Linked DNA regions of Drosophila melanogaster. The protein of the gene in region 3 interacts with the protein of the main gene of each other region in a pairwise test. Each region holds a gene or a part of one and is shown on either strand. Other genes may lie near its edges. The genes, in order: GABA-B-R1, sit, CG5823 and CG14000.

Region 1 (4,840 bases), on a different chromosome or scaffold from region 3:
TAAGCTTTGTTTCAATTGAGATTTGTCGAAACAAATAAATAAATAAGCAGTTTGTATTTTATTTGCTCTTGTTCTTCTTTGTTTTTGTTGTTGGTTGTTGCTGTTCAATTTCTTCTTTTTGTTCAGGGCAAGGGCATTTTGCGCTTCGGCGCCTGAGTTTTATGGCTTTTACCCGCCACGCCCCCGCCCCTTCATCTGTCCGCATCCCCTTTGGCAATGTTCTAAACTCCTGCCAGCAATATTTTTCTATAAAAAAAAAAAAACAGAATAGAACTTTTATGTGGGAGAAGCCTTTTTATCTCTATGTCCTGCGTGTGCGAGGTACTCACATACACACCGATACGTAAAACCATATAGGGCAAAAAAAAAATATAACTTAAAGTATGAATTGTATTATATATTTTACCGTCAGCACGTTTCATAATTTATTACGGTACTAAAATATTTAATTTAAGAGTGCCTTCTCGGTTGTTCTAGACATAATATATCATATTAAAGAGTGGTCTTGATTGAAATCTGCTTGTAAGTGAATATAAAATAGATGGCACATTTTGAAGGCTTTTATAGTTATAAAACCTTAAATCTTAATTAAACAAAGCATAGTTCCCTTTGAAATATATCTTAATTCTGAACATATTTGTATTTAAAATTGATAGAAAACTTAAATGTTTGCACTAACACAAATATATACTGATGCTAATTTGCCAGGATTTATTGATTTAGTGTTTCCTTTCAGTTTCCTTCATAATTAGCCTATTAATCAACTGAACTAACAGTGCGTATACGTATTTTGAGGATTGATTGCTCGACTTTAGTGGGTGATGAATGCGATGCAAGTCAGAAATCAACTAAAGTTTTTTTGTGTTTGAGGATGTAAAAAATACAAAGCCATAATGTGGCGATGCCATTACCGGTTATTTGTGTTGGTTGGATGATGAATGACAGTTTTTCATGCACAAATACGGCGTCTTTTTTAGCATAAAACCTTTTTACAGTGTTTGCATACGAGCCGCGTGTGTTATTGAATGGAAATGCTGTCGGTTTAGCACAAACATGCATACATATATGTATGTATGTACATCGCCGCAGCGTCACTCCAAATTTGTTTGCCAGTTAATCGCACTGAGGCGCGTTAATCATGGCGGTGTGTTAAGGACGAATAAAAGGTGGTGGTGCTGTGGATAATTTTGGTGGCTACGGGGTGGCTCACTTAACTAAGGTGTGGTTGCAGATTTGGCGAGTTGACACCTTTGACGTAGAGTTGCCGCTGAAGAGGCGCTGATGAGAGGGGATGGTCGTCAAGGGGCTAACTTCCTAGTGACCTAGTTTACAAACCTTCGCACACATACACACACACAGACTTTAAACATTAATTACGTCGGGAATTCTGCACAAATGCGACAAATGCTTCACTTCACTTCACTGCCTTCCCACCTGCTCTCTTCATACCTACACAGAACAAAAAGGAGTGATCGTAGATGATGATCGGTTTACTCTTCTCAAAAGCAATATAAAAAAGATATAGATTTCAGATTCTATGAAAGATCTATGCATCTTGTCGGCGAAAAAACAAAAATATATCAAATTTGTATTGAAAAATAATTTTAACAATTTAATTTGAGTTAGAAAGAGTTTTGTGGTACGATCATTGTAATGACCATCAATCCGGGATATCATTTTAACTATTATTTTCCTGTACTACAACCAATAAATATCATATATCATTCTTTCCTTTCTTTCTTTTATTTGTACTTCTCAAATCATTTTGATTTCACTTGGCTTAAAACATACATATATTTCCACTGACCATTCATCACTTGTCCATCTCCTAGAATCTTTGAACCATGAGGGTTTAATTTTTTTTAACATCCCTGGGAATTAGCTGCTCACATTTTTGCAAGTGTATTCTCTCCGCCTCTCTTCGCGGCACTCTACACCTTTCTATTGCCATCTCGCTCACTTTACACTTCACTTACTTTGCGTATTGCCGTTTAAAAATGCGATGTTGCGGTTGTTGTTGTTGTTGTTTCCTGCTTTGCTACTACTGCTTCCTCTTCTTCTCGGCCTCCGTTTTATCCTTTGCCGATGTTTTTGTCTCTGTCTTTGTCTGCTCCTTTGCTCCTTTGGCCGGTGCTTCAATTGTTTCATAAGACGCTTCTTCTTTTTCGCTGCTCCTTTTGCTTGGGCAGGGTCGTAGGGGGTGTTGGATGGAGGGGGTGCTGCCAAAGGGGGTCAGGGGCCAAATCAGTGTTTGTTGTTGATTTGGTTGTTGTTGTTGTTGTTATTGTTGCTATTATCGCTGTCGCGGCGGCGTTGTTCAAACATAATTTGATGACTGCGCATTACAATCGATAATCCCATGCACAAATGCAGCTCAGCACATCGGCATTGCCTTAAATCCATTTTAATGAGAACGGATCCCGATAATTCCGTAATCCCCAAATGATGGCAATTCCTTTGCAGGTCCTGCTGTCACTGCCTTTTTTTGCTGTGCTCTCTCCTCCCTTTTCTTTTTTATTTTTTATATATGTTTGTTGCACTTTCACAAATAATTCGAGAAAAAACTGAGATGTGAGGGGCGTGAGCTTTTTTTTTGTCAACTTTGTTTGAGTTTGCGGTGTGTTCTGTGTAACTGTGCTATATGCTATATGCTATGTATATTACTTTGTACAACTTTTCTACATTACTATATCAGATTTACGTTGAATTCCTTATCAAACTAGTAAGCTTCTGACTATGAGGGGCATGAATTATTAATGTATTCGTTTTATTTCACTTGCTTTCTAGCTGTAACACACTTCACTTTATCAATTCCCGCACCGTAATTCCATTTAACGCGTATTTCTTTTTGCAGGTATTCAGTTCTGCGGGAGTTATATCTTATGCACAGAGTGGTGTTTTCGCTCCTGCTCCTTATTTGTCTATTTTTTGTACAGACTTTTTCGCATTGTATTCGGGGGATGAGACGCGAGAGGCTCCTGCTGTGTTCGTTGTGTTCCACATGTATCCGACGACTGGAACTCCATGACTGACATTTACGTTTTCGCCTCGCCAGGACGAAAGCTTAGAGCACGAGAGCTTTTCGGTGGGAAAGCTCGTGCTTCCGCTTTTCCACTTTTCCAGTTGCCAAGTCAAGTCGGGTTTTTTGAAGTTTCGCTTTTTCAGTTTGCTGGCCAAGTCGAAAGTCGCGAAACTCTCCGGGCAATTACGTTTACTTTGTGGGTGGGTGTAGCGGGGTGTAGGTGGGTGGTAGTTGGACGGTAATTGGGGGTTGGGCGCAAGGACGAGGGCGGGCTTAAGGACACCGGTTTTATAGAGTTGTCAAATGGCCCCAGGAATGGCCAGTCAAAACATCAAAATTCACTCGCAATTGGCCAAGGGCAATGCGAAAAACCAACAACAAGGAGCAAGTGCCACTAGGCCAACCGGGAAACAGGATGGGGGCATTGTTTTGAAAGCGAAAGGCCATAATGCTTGCACGCCACAATCCCGAGCCGCAGTCAAAGCCAAAGTTGAGTTTCATTTTTGGGGTCGCGTCGCCTCATCGAGCCAAACATGCAAACACGCACGGGCCAAAGCCAAAGCCGAAGCCCAAGGAAGGCAAGGTGAGGTCCTTGTCATTTAACTCACTTGTCGAGTTGACCTTTGTTCGCTTGGTTGCCGTGCTCCACCATAGAGCTAATGCCCAACTGCCACGCCTTGAGCTTGATCCATAGCAACTTGTACTTTTGTGTCCCCTCGCAAAACCCCCCCCCAAACCGCTCGACAAAAAAAGGGGAAACCCTGAAATATACAGCTAACCCCCCTTCACCAAACACACTTGGCTCTAAATACAAACTTGCCCCCCCCTGCTGATGGCCATGTGCATGTTTGATGAGCTTATCAAGGCTCCGGGATTATTGAATATTTTCAAATCGATATAGCCGTGCCAGCCACACCGTTAGTTGGCACCTTAATTGCCAACTGAATAAATCATTGACAATTTTGCAATTAGTTCGAGAACCTCAACTGTCCGCTCAAGTCGAAGGATTCTGCGGTCAAAAATAAACCATTTGCATTGGCCCAAAAGTAGTCAAGCCAAGAAATTGGAAGTTTTCCCATCGTCGACTTGGGAAATCAATTACTCAAATATTTATGTCCGCATGTGGAATTCGGGTATGCTGAAATGCACTTGTCTTGAACTCTGCCAGTGAATAAATGGCAATCGAAATTGCTGAGCGGATTAAATAACTTTCAGATGTGTGAATACGAGGGCATGGGTTATGGCCTATATTTGCACTGCCGTATAGGTTACAGAACGCACTTATTGTTTAGATATTTGAATTGATTTCATAGACAGTTAGAGCAGAAACGGCACTAATTAAACCAAATCCACTCAAGAGCAAATTGGTAAACAGCAGTTTGAAAATTAACATTGCGCAATTGTTATGCATTGATAAATTGATGATTTATTTATGAATTTTCTGTATTCCAATGTTATTTTGGCATAGGCCAGCTATTATTTTGAACTCTGATTTTGATTTCTAGTTCACTCTAAATTCACGTTTTAATTACATAAAATTATAAATGTTTTCAGTGAAATATTTAGCGAATTTGCTTTGAATAGAACGTTTATTTTATGTTATGGTAATCTCCTAAAACTATTCAATAAAATGAAAGTTATTATTGAATGGGCGATTTAAAACATTTGCAGGCACAGCTGCAATCAGCAATCAACATGAAATAGTGTGATAATGTTAATTGAAAAGATTGTGGCTTGTTATGGATTTCCATGAAAAGAGAAAAAATGCATAATGTTTTATTGTAAATATATAAATATATTCTGTTAAAATGAAATTAT
Region 2 (6,701 bases), 5.0 Mb from region 3:
CAATAATAATTGTTTAACGGTTTGTTCGCCAGTTTGACTGTTGGCTAAATGTAAATGTTTGCGGAAGATATTTGCATAACTGGCAGCAACCCCTCAGATACATTTATATATACATACATACATACATACATATATATCGAACTCGATCGCATGAATCGTCTGCAGCGACAGCGATAATAAACTAACGTCTTTTGCATACGATTATGATCCGCTTGATGGCTGGTGGCCAAACAAAAGACGAATGCAAATGAAATCCGAAACACCGGAAGAATTTGTCACTGGCTGAGGCGCACACGGCGTATGATTGATTCCTGGCCAACGAAGGGATTCACCCGATCAACCATACGCCCGGTCGACATTCACCCACATCTTATGCAGTCCACTCGGATTCGAACTCGAACTGGTTGGCATAAGCTAATCGGCAAGTTCAAGTTCAATTCGCCGGTGACACAGTTAACATTTCGGTGACCCCAGCCTCAGCCTCTGTTTTTTTTTTTCTCAGACATCGAAGTTCGAAGTCTTGGCCAAAATAGTTGCTATCGGTTTGGTTTCATTAACTTGACCCGGAAGTGGGCCTTAATCGATGCGCTGCGATCATTGTGGGTCGTTAGAATCCGATTCCGAATCTGATTCCGAGCCCTGGGCCCAAAGAATTTGTATGTAAATTGCCAGGTAAATGCGCCGTTTCCTTGAATAAACTTTACAAACACTTTTAACGAAATACTTCTGGCTGTAAACCTTTCCGCTTTATGCCGATAATAGCAATGTTTTAGGCTTGTTTTAAATAGTTTTCAAATTGCTTGTAAAACAGTCTAGGGAATTTCGCTGATTCGCCAAAAAAAAAGGTCAACGAAATTATAAACCACCTACGCAGTTTCAGTTCAGTTCAGTTGGGTTAGGTTCTAAAGTTCATACTGGAGTTAAAGCGTGAATAAGTATTTCAAGTGGGTCAAGGTTACGAAAGCGAATTTGGATGAAGATATAAAAAAAGGGAGAATTACCAGAAACCGAAAACAAAATAGAATGAACATTTCATTCTGAGGCGATTTGAGACTATTTCTAGGGTTTGTTGTCATATTCTGGCTAATGATGAAAGAGCCTAAGGGAATGGATAAATAATACTCTATAATGACTGAATGTTGTTTAAAAAGCTATTAATTGAGAGAAAATGAAAGTATCATTAGGGTACACATACGTATATGTAGAATATATTCTCATTTGATAGAATGTTAGTTTCTGTTTGTTATTAGCAAACTAATCAGAGTTGTCCGCTGGGATTGGCTGTGTTTTCTAAAATAAAAACATTTTACTTTGCAAATGTTTAAATGAATTTTCTGTTTATTAGGTCTTGTTATTCAAATTTCTGGAAGCACGCTCAATGCCATAAATTCGCTATCCTCTAAGTTCTACCGCAATCGCTTTGACCAAATCGATCAAAAGTGACAACTATTCAAGAATATTTTATGATTCTTTTAATTGTACAAAAGGCTGCACAACCAAATACAAAACGAATTAAAAGCCAGACGATTTTGGCCAACAACAGCAACAAAAAGCCGGCAACACGCACACACAACACCAACATTGTTATCGCAATTATCATAGAAAAACGAGACCATACGAGACCATTCGATACATTTTGTGTATGTAGCATATAGCATATAGCGTTTGGAATCCACGAGGCACAAAAGAACATCTTAAAGCTAAAGCTAAAGTCAAAGATGAGGATGAGCAAGATGCCAAATAGCCGAGACAAAAGTTCGGCTAAACAAAAACTAAAGCTGAATCTAAACGCCGAACTGAAGATGAACTGAATACAGATACAGAAACAGATACAGATACAAAAACAAATCGGAAGGCAGAGACGAAGAAACAGCAGTGCCAAATCGAACCTTTAGTCGAAATTTTTATACATAGCGCCGTACAACTCGGCGGAGCAGTTCAGTGCGCGTACAAGTCTCGTGGGTAGCGGATGCCAGCAAAGGTATCTCCCCACTATACAATAATATACCATACTAAACTATACTATACCACACCACACCACATAGTGCCTCATATCAGCCTCATTTGAGCAAGACTAAAGATGGAACAAGACTAAAAAACAGTTGTCACGGTGCTAACATTAAGTTGTCGTCGCTCAAAATTAAGTGCACGGCAATCGAAGAGATTGCAACAGGTGCCCAACAAACCGCTTCATCTGTGTGTGCCAGTGTGTGTGTGTAGATATATCTGAGTGATCAATCAGATCAATCGTTGGAGGCGAGCAGTTATAGAATTCGTGGCTTAGACTGGATTGATACGCTGGTAGAGGTCCCTGAAAGTGAAGTTCTGTAGCTATTCAATCGACAGATCAGCTGACAAGGAAAGGTTTATAAAGTTTGTGCATTTCAATAGTTAGGGTACATATCCTTAAAAATCAACAAAGTATTTCAACACTTAAAAGGCTAGTAAAGATGAGCAAGGATACGCTTGTGTTTACATCTTTCTAAAATTTGCTTAGAAGCACAAGTAGATGATACTTCATATTTTGTATCTTTCACTTCCATGCCTAATATTTAGCTTAGATCAGCAAACTTTTTTTTTTTGCATAGAACAAGTGCCATATGAGGAGTTTAGCGATCTCCACCTGTCAAGGTCATTAAACCAATGCGACACATATTTGATTTTGGCAAAAACAAAACCGCCGTCGTCCAAATTGGGCAATAGGTGACACAATTTTCTATTTGCTCGCTCTAGGTGCTTCCAAGGTTTCCCACATCTCCGGACATTTACCAAATGACTAACCAAGTGGAAATACCCTCAAATTGGCTGGCGATGATCAGCCAGACACGACGGCGTCCAAATGATGCGACATCTTATGGCTTAGATCATAATTCCCACCCATTCCCGAACACACACAAAATAAAAAAGAGCAAGAAACGCATGGCAAGGTCGTAATTCCAACTGAAAATTGATAAACTGGATTTTCTTGGCCAGTATTTTGTGCGGCCAACAAAAGTGTTTAGCACCTTTTGGCTTATGACTGCCATTTGTCGCCTTCCCCCTCAAGATTTTCTGGCCCCATTCTGCGCTAACTGTTGCAGGTAATATTCAAACGGAGCCATAACACCTGAAGTGCAGGAAATGACCGGAGAGCTGAAGCCAAACCTGTTGATGGCTGCTGATAGCCGACTGGAGTGTTGGCCAAGTTGCCCTTCAAAATATCTCCTCAGTCGTTTTTTTTTTTATTTCAATTTGTTCCTCACTTCGCAGACCAAGAAGCCGATCAGAATAGCCTCGAAAACGACGCAAGAAATCATAATGCTATTCGATTATTTTGTGGTCTTAATCGGCCTTAGCCAAGTTCAAGTGTGAGTCGACTTCAAGTCAACGAACGTGAATGCTTGGAATTTAGCATGGGTGCTTGATAGCTCGATGGTTCTCAAATGCCCCCTTTGGAGGAGCAAGTTCTTGGCGATGATTAATCACCGGGAGTACCACTTCACTCTGTCCCACTTTGGACTAAACGACTTCTGTAGAAGATCCCCGAGATCCGTAAGAGAGTGGCAAGCAACAGCTCAAAACCAAACAAACTGCACAACACAAATATAATTTAGCTGGGTGTGCGAGTGGGTTTTATGCGTTCCACACGTGAGGCACTGAGGCACTGCCCAATTTACTTGGGTCTTGTATCTCGGGTCGTGAGGCAACCAACCAACCATGGTATGGGCCATATGGAGTTGAAGTTTTGAGGTGGCCACCAATTTGTTGCGGGCTGTTGTGCGCTGCGGTTGTTTAATTCATAATAATGAATATAATTTACTGTTACTGTTACATGATAATTTCACGGCATTTCACCGTCACCGTCACACATTTGCTATTTGCTATTCTCCTTCGCCTTCGTTTGATTATTATTTTAATTTTATTTAGATTTCTGGGCTCGGCAACAGCAACAGCAAAAGCAATGGCAAAAGCTGTAGCTGAAGCTATAGCTTTGGCATTAGTTGCTCGAGAATCGCATTAACATAACTTAACTACGAAAACTCGAAAAGATCTTTCCCTCATCCAGACTCCCTTCCGATCTTCCCAATTCCATTTAGATTTCGCAAAACTCGTTCGTTGCGACGCAGGCTAAGCAGATTTTTGAATTTCACATCGAAACGATCGTCGCTATATAATCGTATTTGTGGGAGCAAGAGTCCAACGAGGAGAATTTAAAAATGGCAGCCGTCAACGCAACACAGGTGGACTATTGGAATTTTCTGTTCACCGATCTGGCAGGTGAGTTGGATGGGGAGGGGAACTACCTGTGCCGCATATAGATGCTGATCAAATCCCTGATATTCCCACGCAGATCCCCGCACCAATGACTGGTTCCTGATCAAGTCGCCACTGCCCCTGCTGGGCATCCTGGCCTTCTATCTCTTCTTCGTGCTGTCCTGGGGACCCAAGTTCATGAAGGATCGCAAACCCTTCAAGCTGGAACGCACCCTGCTCGTCTACAATTTCTTCCAGGTAGCCCTCAGTGTTTGGATGGTCTACGAGGGCGTGGTCATCTGGCAGTACTACAGCTGGCGGTGCCAGCCGGTTGATTGGTCCCGCACACCCAAGGCGTATCGTGAGGCGCGCGTCGTCTATGTCTACTATCTGGCCAAGATTACCGAGCTGCTGGACACCATTTTCTTTGTGCTGCGCAAGAATGACCGACAGGTGACCTTCCTGCATGTCTACCATCACACGGTGATGCCCATGATCAGCTGGGGCACCAGCAAGTACTATCCCGGCGGACATGGCACCTTCATTGGCTGGATCAACTCCTTCGTGCACATTATCATGTACTCCTACTACTTCCTCTCCGCCTTCGGACCCCAGATGCAGAAGTATCTGTGGTGGAAGAAGTACATCACCAACCTGCAGATGGTAAGAACGCTTTATACGCTATCCATAGATATCTGTAGTATTTCAATTTGAGGGGTTATAAGAGGTTTATTACTTGCTTTGCTAATGACTTCATCTTAGAACTAAATAGGAAAGCACTTAAGTGGAAAATATTCAAATGTATTCTTTGATTTTAGGGCTGCACTTAAAAGTGATATATAGTTTTATTTTGTTGTGAGATACTAGAGCTCTACAACCATTTCATTTTAAAATTATCTAGATTAGTATAAGTACAAAACAGATAGATTCAGAAATAGATAGCACCTCATTCTTCCTTATCGATAGCTCTTAATGGTCTCCCGATTTTACGATTATTCTTACAGATCCAGTTCTGCTGCGCCTTCATCCACCAGACGCAGCTGTTGTACACGGATTGTGGGTATCCCAGGTGGTCGGTGTGCTTTACCCTGCCCAACGCGGTGTTCTTCTACTTCCTGTTCAACGACTTCTACCAGAAGTCCTACAAGAAGAAGCAGGCTGCTGCCAAGGAGAAGGCTCTGTCGGCGGATAACAATAATGATGGATGTGCCAAGGACCTCAACAAGGCAATTCAGCTGCAGCAGGAGAAGCAGAAGGCCTTGTAAGAGGGAGGAGCACAAACACCCACCGCCACCCACCCACACACACCACCCTCAACACACAAAACCCCTTCAATACTCGTACAAAAGGGCGGGTAGAAACACCCACTGAGAGCCACCCATGTTCTATGTGCAACCTTGTTGACTAATTTCTTAAGTAATCCGCCGCCAAATAGACGTGAAGCACGAAAAAAAAAAGAAAATCAGAAACGAGACGAATAGATATTTGAGCAAATGAGGTTTTCGAGACACAGATACACATATTATGTAAATGTAAATGTAAATGTTCAAACAGTTGAAATTGCTTTTTGCCGCCATCGTCATCATCATCGCTCGCTCCGTTTGAAGTTCGCCATCGTGTCGGGCGGACCCAAATGAAAGAAGTCGTATGTCTTTCGGCCAAAACTGAAACTGAACTAAGTTAAGTAAACAGGCAGAAGAAGCGTTAGTTGTGTAAATAAGTGTAGGTACGCATGCGAATGTGTTTTCTTTAGATTTTATATACGTGTGGTATGTAAAGTAGGCATTAAACAAGTGAAAAACTAGCTAATAACGAAACCATAAATACAAACACAATTTACAAATAAATCTAGAATTTTTTCTACAAAAATATCGTAAAAAAACAATGAGCCTTATTCTTTATCTTATGAATGGGAAATTAACGGAAGTGAGAACTGACACTCCTAGTGTCAATATACTGAAAAAGATCTCAACTTTGCTTTTATGGGAATTTTTCATATAAATCTGTTTTTATGTATCGTATATTTGTCAAAAAAGTCTGACATTTTTAATTAATAGATCACTTTATCAGGATCATGTACCCCATACTATTTCTTTATAGTTTGAATGATCTTGTTTTCAATACATTTAAAAGTTTTTTCCTTTTGACGCAATAATATATTATACTTTTAAATGAATTACTTTTCATTTAAAGAAATAATGAATTAATGCAATTGGCCTTGAAAACATTGCATATTCAAGCATTTCCTGTAATCATTTGTGTTCATTCAACTTGTATTTATGGTTTCAAGCCACTTTAATGGTATATTTGTCTTTTCGACAACATTGGGGTATCTCCCAAAGAGCAATCACACCCATTTGCATCCCAATCTAGCCATTCATGATCTCAGTAAGCCTCAGATAAATCGCACGAGGTAACCTTTGCTCAAGGAACCAACTCAAATCGATTGACCAGCTGATATATGTATG
Region 3 (4,431 bases):
GAATCTCCGACAAAACCGAGGGAACCACTTGGGGTTTCACGGACACGAAGACCACATCCGATTGCTGCACAACGGGTGCATTCTTGATCACTGTTTCCACTCCCAGGGATTGAAAGGACTGCAGGGAGAGCTTATCTGCCGGATGGACGCTGGCTATCAGGGTATTGGGTTTGGCCAGGCCTAGGAAATGAATTAGGAAATTTGGCGATTATATGATGAAATCCTTAACGTCCTATCCTTTTGTATCTAATTATAAGATGATGTTAGTTCATATATATATTGCATATCCAAGTGTGTCTTATCTATTGTCTAGCACAAAGTATGTCAGACTACAAATCTATTTTATTAGTGGCTTTCTCACCGGCCGCTAGGAAACCCTTAGCCAAAGCCTTGGCCATATTCCCGCCTCCCAGGAATCCGATCTTTCCGATTGCCGACATTAGTTAATGGGTTAAAAAGTCCGCGGACTGTGAGTACTGAACTTTCTGCTGGTGGAACGGCAACTGTGCGCCCGCCGCCGGCGTTGACCAAAAACAGACGCGAGGATTGATAAGAAATCTTGCCCGGCCAACCCCCTCCCAATCCCCTGCGTTGAGGGAACAACACACCCAGCGATCTGAGCTTATCATTGAGGTTCCTATGTGTGGGTTCGGCAATCGACAGCGGGGCAAAATAATAATAAATACTAAGAACTTTTCACACATTGTAAATAAAGAAAACATTAAACTATTAATAGTGCTGTTTTACAATCGAATTATATTTGAATAAAAATAGTCATTAAAATCCACTTAAGATAGAGACAAATTTTTAATAGATCATAAATTACAACCCATTATTTAAAGTGAAGTTATTATGATTTCAGCTTATATAACAATCAATTATAATATTGATTGATAATATTGATTATATATAATATGTAGTTTAAAATACAGTTCAAGTGCCGCGATTGCTAATATTTTGCCCGCCGTTGTATTTCCTTATCATTTAGAACAACTGTCATCCGCAACTCATTCACCCATTAATCGGCGTGACGAAGTCCAAATTAATGCGAGATGCCGATGCCCTGTAATCCCTGTAATCGTGCGTTGATCCACTTTCGTGTTTTGGATTCCATTTCTATAAATTTCTATATAGCTGTACTCTTTGGCAATCCTTACTTACCAAGTTTCAAAAACATTCCGCACTTTAAGAGATAACAATCGTTATCAATGTGAGCGTGATAACAGTAGAGGCGATATACACATGCTTATTTGTAAAGGGCTACATTAGAAAACCAAAGTATTTACTTTGTATATTACAAAATATTGCCATAGGGATTTTGGGACATACCCGGGTATACTAGATACGTTGGAAAGTAGATACCGCCTAGTAAGCAATTTTCGAAAAGAGTTCTTTCTTCTTTTTATCATATCTCGCATTAAGTAACGGGTATTTGATAGTCCAGCAAATCGGCTAAAACTAAAAGATCTATATTTACTGTTTTCAAAGAATTGCACAGATTTGAGAGTCAGTTAATTAGCGGATACATACACCACTCCATCCAATTTTCTCACCGTATGCAGCAAAGTTTCCCTCCTTCACCACGTGGTGAGGAAGCCAACATAGACTCTGGTAACACTAAACTGGAGATGAAACTTACTTCCGCACACGGTACCACTAAACTCTTCATGCCAAAATAAAAGATTAAATTAAGATATTGCCAGCTCCAAACCCGGATATATAACCCCACAAGTGATTAATACGAATTAGGGGCATCCACTGTAGCGGAGTAAGCTCGTGATACTACCAAAATTTACCAAAGTCAAGCCCTAGTTGTCCCCTACACGTGTGTGAGTGTGTGTGTGCGGGTGTCGGTCGTGTGCGCCTGTATATGTGCGTTGTTTTCTCACTCAATTTCATTGCAATTTAAAAAAAAATCAACAAAAACGCAGTAACAGCAGCAACAACAATTAGAAAACGCACTTGTTACCGAGGTTGGCTGCCAGTACTAGAAAAGCAAACAATAAACAACCGAGCTGGCGAGACTGAAATCCATCGCATGATAAACACACCGAACAAGAATCTTCGACAGCTTCGAAATTCTGGAGAAGGACGGTACGTATTGGTATTTATGCGACCAGATACGAGTATAATTGATTTGCAAATTATTCCACAGGGCCACGTCGCTATCTTATCTGCTACAGTGAGAGAAAAACCAGTAGGCCAGTCGTGTTCGATCATAGTTTAGGTTTTCAAACTTGGGCGGTAGTAATTAAGTTCGTTAAAAATTAGCAAAACCAAAACAACACCATGTCCTCGTCGTCGACGTCCGGCGGCCGGAAGCAACCCACTGCTGTGTCGCGCATGAAGCAGGACTATATGCGCCTCAAGCGGGATCCCCTGCCGTACATAACCGCCGAGCCGCTGCCCAACAACATCCTCGAGTGGCACTACTGCGTCAAGGGGCCGGAGGACTCGCCCTACTACGGCGGCTACTACCACGGCACCCTGCTCTTTCCGCGCGAGTTCCCATTCAAGCCGCCATCCATCTACATGCTGACGCCGAACGGTCGCTTCAAGACCAACACCAGACTGTGTTTGAGTATATCAGGTATGTGTCAGTTCCATATCCGTAGGAGTCCGAATCCACAGCTAGAAATAAAGCGGATTGGTTGTCACAGTAGTAGAACATTAAAGAATGGGTAGTAACTACAGGCTTAAAGACTACCATTAACTTTGAACGCTGAATAGTTTTAGTTATGTTTGACGAAGCCGATGGACTTTGTGGCTTAGTCAAACATGTTTTTTGCGACCTTTCAAATAGATATTCGTGTATCTGTTTAGATCTGTTTAGATTCTATTGTTCCAAACATATAACTTATCAACCCTATTGGGATTTTCAGATTTTCATCCGGACACTTGGAACCCGACTTGGTGCGTAGGCACCATTCTCACTGGACTGCTGAGCTTCATGGTGAGTTATTACGAATACATGATCATACGTTTGAGTAAGCCAATCTTAAATCCTTCACAGCTGGAGAGCACACCCACACTCGGATCCATCGAATCATCGAACTATGACAAGCAAATGTTTGCTCAAAAATCACTAGCATTTAACCTGCGCAACACCAACTTCTGTGAGCTGTTTCCGGAGATAGTCGAAGAGATCAAGCAGCGGCTGCGAGGAACACAGGCGGCAGCTGCTGTGGACGGACCCGCTGCCAATGGAGTAAAGCGTTCCAACGGACTGGCCAACGGAGCGAGCCTGGCATCTGCGGATGGCAATCTGGCGGTGGGCGGCTTGGCCAATCCACTGAATGCAGCGGACGCAATCGATGGCGGGGCGGCGGGTCAGGCGGATTTGGCCAGCGGCGGAGGAGCGGCGGTCCAGAATAGTGCACGGAACTCCTATCTAAACTGGCAGTCCGTCTATTCAAACCTGGTGATCATTATCTGCTTTGCAATTTTTGCCCTCATTGTTAATTACGTGATCAAGAACCTGAATCAGGAATAGAATTACCGACACAGCCTCTATATTTATATAAAGAAATAGTTACACATCCGTATGCGTGTGCATATCTAATCTAGTTTACTTTAAAATAGTCTTCGTGGATTGTATACCGCTTGAGAAGTATTTACATACCCCGCTTGATTCAAAAACAACCGCACTAGACCCCCGGCATCCATTCCCACGATTCCCACGATTGCTGACTTAGTCTGAAAATTATCGGCAGCAAAATTTGAAAACACAAGAACACACAATTCAGAACTCGACTTGTGAAATTTAAAAATTGTTTTGTTATGTATTCATTACTATTAACGCCTAGTTTAATGCAACGTGAATAATGCCAGAAATATGTTTGTAAATGAATAAAGAAGCCCGGCAACATATGAGCTCGTGTACAAATTAACCAATATATGTGTGCGTTTCTTGATTATTAAATGGATCTTCATTTTCAGTCGCCACAAATTGCTTGGATGTTGGATGATTCAACTTGTATAATAAGTTGTAATTTGTAGTTGGCTTTTCGCTGGCTAAGCGGCTTAAGTATGAAGCAAAGTCCGCTGGCAGTCGGCAATAATTTTTCCTCACACTAGCTAAGTACGGCCAAATCCAATAAACTGATGCCTGGCTGGGCAACAATGTTACACATTTAAACCGCTTACATTGTTGGCCATCTTAAGCCGAAATTACACACATGACGCTTATTACTCCTGGAAGTGGGCGTTGCGGACCAAGTTCGATGGTTACAGTGAATTGTGGTTACCACAATCTATGTCTTTGAAGTAAAAACAATCTATGTCTTTGAAGTAAAAACTACAGAATAATACTATGATTTTTTTTTAAAACTATCTATAACCAGTATATATATTTATACGATATATTCGCTTTGTAGGAATATTTTATAGATTTAAAGTCGTTTTAATAGTTTTCCAGGAAAATAAAATACT
Region 4 (3,670 bases), on a different chromosome or scaffold from region 3:
ACAGTTCACCAGGGAGCAGCAGAACGGATGCTGGTGCACCGACCGCTGCAAATGGACGGAATGCGGAGGAGGCGCTGATGGACGCCCGCGTCCAAGTGAGCCTCACCACGCTAAAGAAGCTATTCAACGAATACACTCATCCGCGGGAGCCGCTGAGCGAACAGGAGCGCGATGACAAGCTCTACGAGATGCTGCCCCTCTTCTGCAAAGTGAGTGAATCAGTCGGTATGGAGGAATAGGCCACTAACTCCCCATTCTTACAGGTCTTCAGCAGCTGTCCGTCAAACGACATGAGCGAAAAGTTCTGGGACGTGGTCGCCTTCTGCCAGCAAGTGTCCCGTCTCATGGTCAGCGAAATCCGCAAGCGCGCCTCCAACCAGAGCACAGAGGCGGCATCCATTGCCATAGTCAAGTTTCTCGAGGTGGAAACCACCGAGGAAACCAGCAGCGGATGGATGCTTTTGGCTACCCTCAATTTGTTGGCCAATGGAGACGTATCTCTCATACAGGTATGTTTCATTTATAAACTGCTATAGTATCTTATGGTAAAAATACATCGACGTAATCAAAACAAAAAATTTCAATAGCTACAATTTTCGTTAGGGAAAGTCGTCATCAAATTCACGAAGTTTTCTCAGTTCCAGGCTTCAAAGAGAATTCGATGTGTGAGTTCGTAGCTTCTTCATTTGTAATATTTGGGTTGGCTGCATCTGGAACTTGTTGTTCCTTTTCTCCCGCATCGCTTGGCTTATGGACCAATTCAGCATTGCTTAAAGTTCTGAGCCGAGAATAGCTAGAGCCCTGTTCTACCAGCAAAATCTCCGATTTCTCCCTTTTCTCAGTGTCCGCCCACATGGAAGATCGCCGGGCTAGCTTCCGATCCATTTGAATGGGTTTCATTGTGGCCTCGCTGTTCTCACTTGACCGAGTTGAAACAAGGCTAACAGTGCTCCTGTCCTCGATTTTGGCCCACAAGCTCGAGGAATCGCTGGAGCCGCGCCAGGCTGAAGCAGACCTGCGCATCTTATTGGCCTGCTCTTCCATGTACACACTGTACTCCGTGTCCACCGGTGTGATATCCGATTCACTGGTGGTTATTGTTGGCGTTGATAGAAAACTCTCGTCACTCTCGATCTGATGCAGCGAAAAGAACTTTTTACGCGCATCCCCAATGAACTGCCACATGCGGACTATAAAGTGCGGCTGCTCCACCTCCGCGTTCGGCCGGAAGTACAGGATCTGAGAATTGGCCAACTTATAGTAGCACCTGCAGCATTTGCATAGAAAGTCGTCCACTGGCTTGGAAAGCACAAATAGCCCGGTTGAACCAGACTCTGTTCCCTCAAAGTACTTACGGCCAGTCGCCTGACGTTTCCAGTCGCCGGGTTCCATGCGCATCAGCAGGTCGAACACGTGGAACATGTGCATCAGGTACATGGTGCCAGTAACCAGCGCAGCGATGCTCTGCTGCTTGCAGTGCGCAAAGTGCGGATGTTCCAGATACTCGATGGTAGAATTGATGAAGGCCAGGTGAGGGTCCAGCATGGCGGTGCGCATTATCAGCACGCCGCAGAAATAGTGCGACAGCACGGCACTCAGTGTGAGCAGGAGCTGGGAGGAGAGCACCGTACTCCTAGCCAATAGCAGTCGGAACGCGCCTAGAGCGGCGAGCGCCGTAAAGGACGAAAATGTGGCACAATATAGGATCACATGAGGAGTACGCTCTGGCCAGTAGGATGAGCCGCGTATGTGGAAAAACATACAAACACTGCCCAGCAACACCTCGATGAGTTTAAAAAACACCCAAACCTGGTTCATTTCACAGACGTATTCTAGTTTAAAATGGTTTAGATTTAGTTTTGGCAACAGATGAAAAAGGTTCTGCGGGAAAAGTTGTATCTCAAAATACAAAACACCGCCGGGGCTGCGGGCTTAAATTAAGATGTTAAATCTAAACTAACTAAGCAATTCTAATATTGCTGCATTTCAGGTCATGACTGCTGCGGCGGTTCCCTCTACTTTAGTGAAGTGCTTGTACTTGTTCTTCGACCTGCCCATAGTTGAGGACGATGAGCCTTCAGCTGACGGTGGAGCAGTAAGTGAGTTTAATGCCCATGAAAGGCGGACGCTTCTGCAGAAGGTGTTTGTGCAGCTGCTGGTCAAGCTGTGCTCGTATCCGTATCCCGCTGAGGAACTAGCTCGCATGGACGACTTGACGCTGCTATTCTCGGCCATCACATCGCCATGTCCCATCCACAATATTGTATGGCGCAAGAACGCAGCTGAAATCCTGACCACAATATCAAGGAATGGCCTAACCGATGCCGTAGTTAGCTATATACATTGTAAGTATGGTGGACTTAATCATTATGACTAAATATTCTTAAAATGTTTCTTAATTTAGCCAAGGGCTGCATGGCACTTTGCGTGGACAATATGCAGCGCCTGACGTTTGGAAATCCTTTGGAGATCGTTGAAATGTTCGTCACCGTGTTCTGCTTTCTCAAGGACTCCAGTCAGGTATCCCAGATTTTGATGGATGATTTTCGTGCATCTCAAGGTTACGTGTTTCTCAGTGATTTTCTACTCAAGTAAGTACAATAGTTCTTTTTTTAAGCACTTCTTAATATTCATATTAATTTTTAGGTTTGACAACAATCGTAGCCAATCATTGGAGATTCAAGCGGCCATTCGAAATCTGGTACTGATGATCTCTTCGTTGTGCATGTGTGGCTTTTACGAGCTTCGACCGCCAGCCTCGCAGTTTAATACGGCTTTCAAACTGCAGAACTTCCAGCTCCCACAGGCCACCTCACGAGAGACATGCGTGCGAAATGTGTACGCCTTCCAGGTGCTGCAGAACGTGTTCCTTAAGTCAACGACGCCTGCGCTCTGCTGCACAATACTGGACGCCATTTCGCGGGTGTACCACTCGGAAAATGCCAACTACTTTATCCTGGAATCGGAGCAAACGCTTAGTTCGTTCGCAGAGCGGATACACATGAAAAGCCCGCAAATACAAGAAAAATTCTACGATCTGCTGGAGTTCATTGTCTTCCAACTGAACTTCGTGCCGTGCAAGGAGCTGATCAGCCTTTCGCTATTGCTCAAGCACAACCAGTCGACGTCCTGCAGCATTCTTTGCTTGAAGACACTGTTAAACATTCTCCGGCACAACGCTGTATTTAAAGATGTCTACCGCGAAGTGGGGATTCTGGAGATCTTTGTTGGCTGTCTAACACGCTATGCAGCTCATGTGCAGAAAATAACCAAGGGAGATGAGTCAGTGGTGGTGGAGCTGGAAAATGAATCCGAAGAAGAACTGTTCGACACACTAGGAAAGCATGTTCTGGAGGCCCTCACCATGCTGCTGGGAGGTGGTGCCAGCAACAATGCCCAACTATTTCGTGAGTACGGTGGCGCCAAGTGCGTCCATGAGTTGGTGAAGTTCAAGCACTGCCGACCGCAGGCTCTCGGAATCGTAAGGGAGCTAATCCTGTCCGCAGGTGGAGACGACGACATGCTGCACATACTCTCACTGATGCACAGCGTCAGCCCACTACAAGTGGAGTTTAAGATTCAGATACTAAACATGTTGCTCGGCTGCCTAAAGGACTCTCATCGCACACGGACCGTATTCCGCAAAGTGGGCGGATTCGTTTACGTGACC

Evidence for each region.
Region 1: the proteins of CG5823 (region 3) and GABA-B-R1 interact in a two-hybrid assay, tested with the Drosophila melanogaster proteins (one large-scale study listed by BioGRID).
Region 2: the proteins of CG5823 (region 3) and sit interact in a two-hybrid assay, tested with the Drosophila melanogaster proteins (one large-scale study listed by BioGRID).
Region 4: the proteins of CG5823 (region 3) and CG14000 interact in a two-hybrid assay, tested with the Drosophila melanogaster proteins (one large-scale study listed by BioGRID).

What each region holds. Positions count from the first base shown.
Region 1 is NT_033779.5:15,014,533-15,019,372, reverse strand, and holds the start of GABA-B-R1 (metabotropic GABA-B receptor subtype 1), read right to left. Parts: upstream 3,043-4,840; 5' UTR 1,977-3,042; intron 1-1,976.
Region 2 is NT_033777.3:22,557,805-22,564,505, reverse strand, and holds sit (stuck in traffic), read left to right. Parts: upstream 1-1,933; 5' UTR 1,934-1,981; intron 1,982-4,076; 5' UTR 4,077-4,196; coding exon 4,197-4,257; intron 4,258-4,330; coding exon 4,331-4,896; intron 4,897-5,237; coding exon 5,238-5,498; 3' UTR 5,499-6,164; downstream 6,165-6,701.
Region 3 is NT_033777.3:17,531,782-17,536,212, reverse strand, and holds CG5823 (uncharacterized protein), read left to right. Parts: upstream 1-1,625; 5' UTR 1,626-2,094; intron 2,095-2,155; 5' UTR 2,156-2,289; coding exon 2,290-2,590; intron 2,591-2,882; coding exon 2,883-2,953; intron 2,954-3,013; coding exon 3,014-3,493; 3' UTR 3,494-3,888; downstream 3,889-4,431. Other genes in the region: P5cr-2 (Pyrroline-5-carboxylate reductase-like 2), read right to left, coding at 1-180, 362-440.
Region 4 is NT_033779.5:5,908,427-5,912,096, forward strand, and holds CG14000 (uncharacterized protein), read right to left. Parts: upstream 1,864-3,670; 5' UTR 1,819-1,863; coding exon 622-1,818; 3' UTR 510-621; downstream 1-509. Other genes in the region: bchs (blue cheese), read left to right, coding at 1-209, 264-509, 1,991-2,345, 2,405-2,591, 2,647-3,670.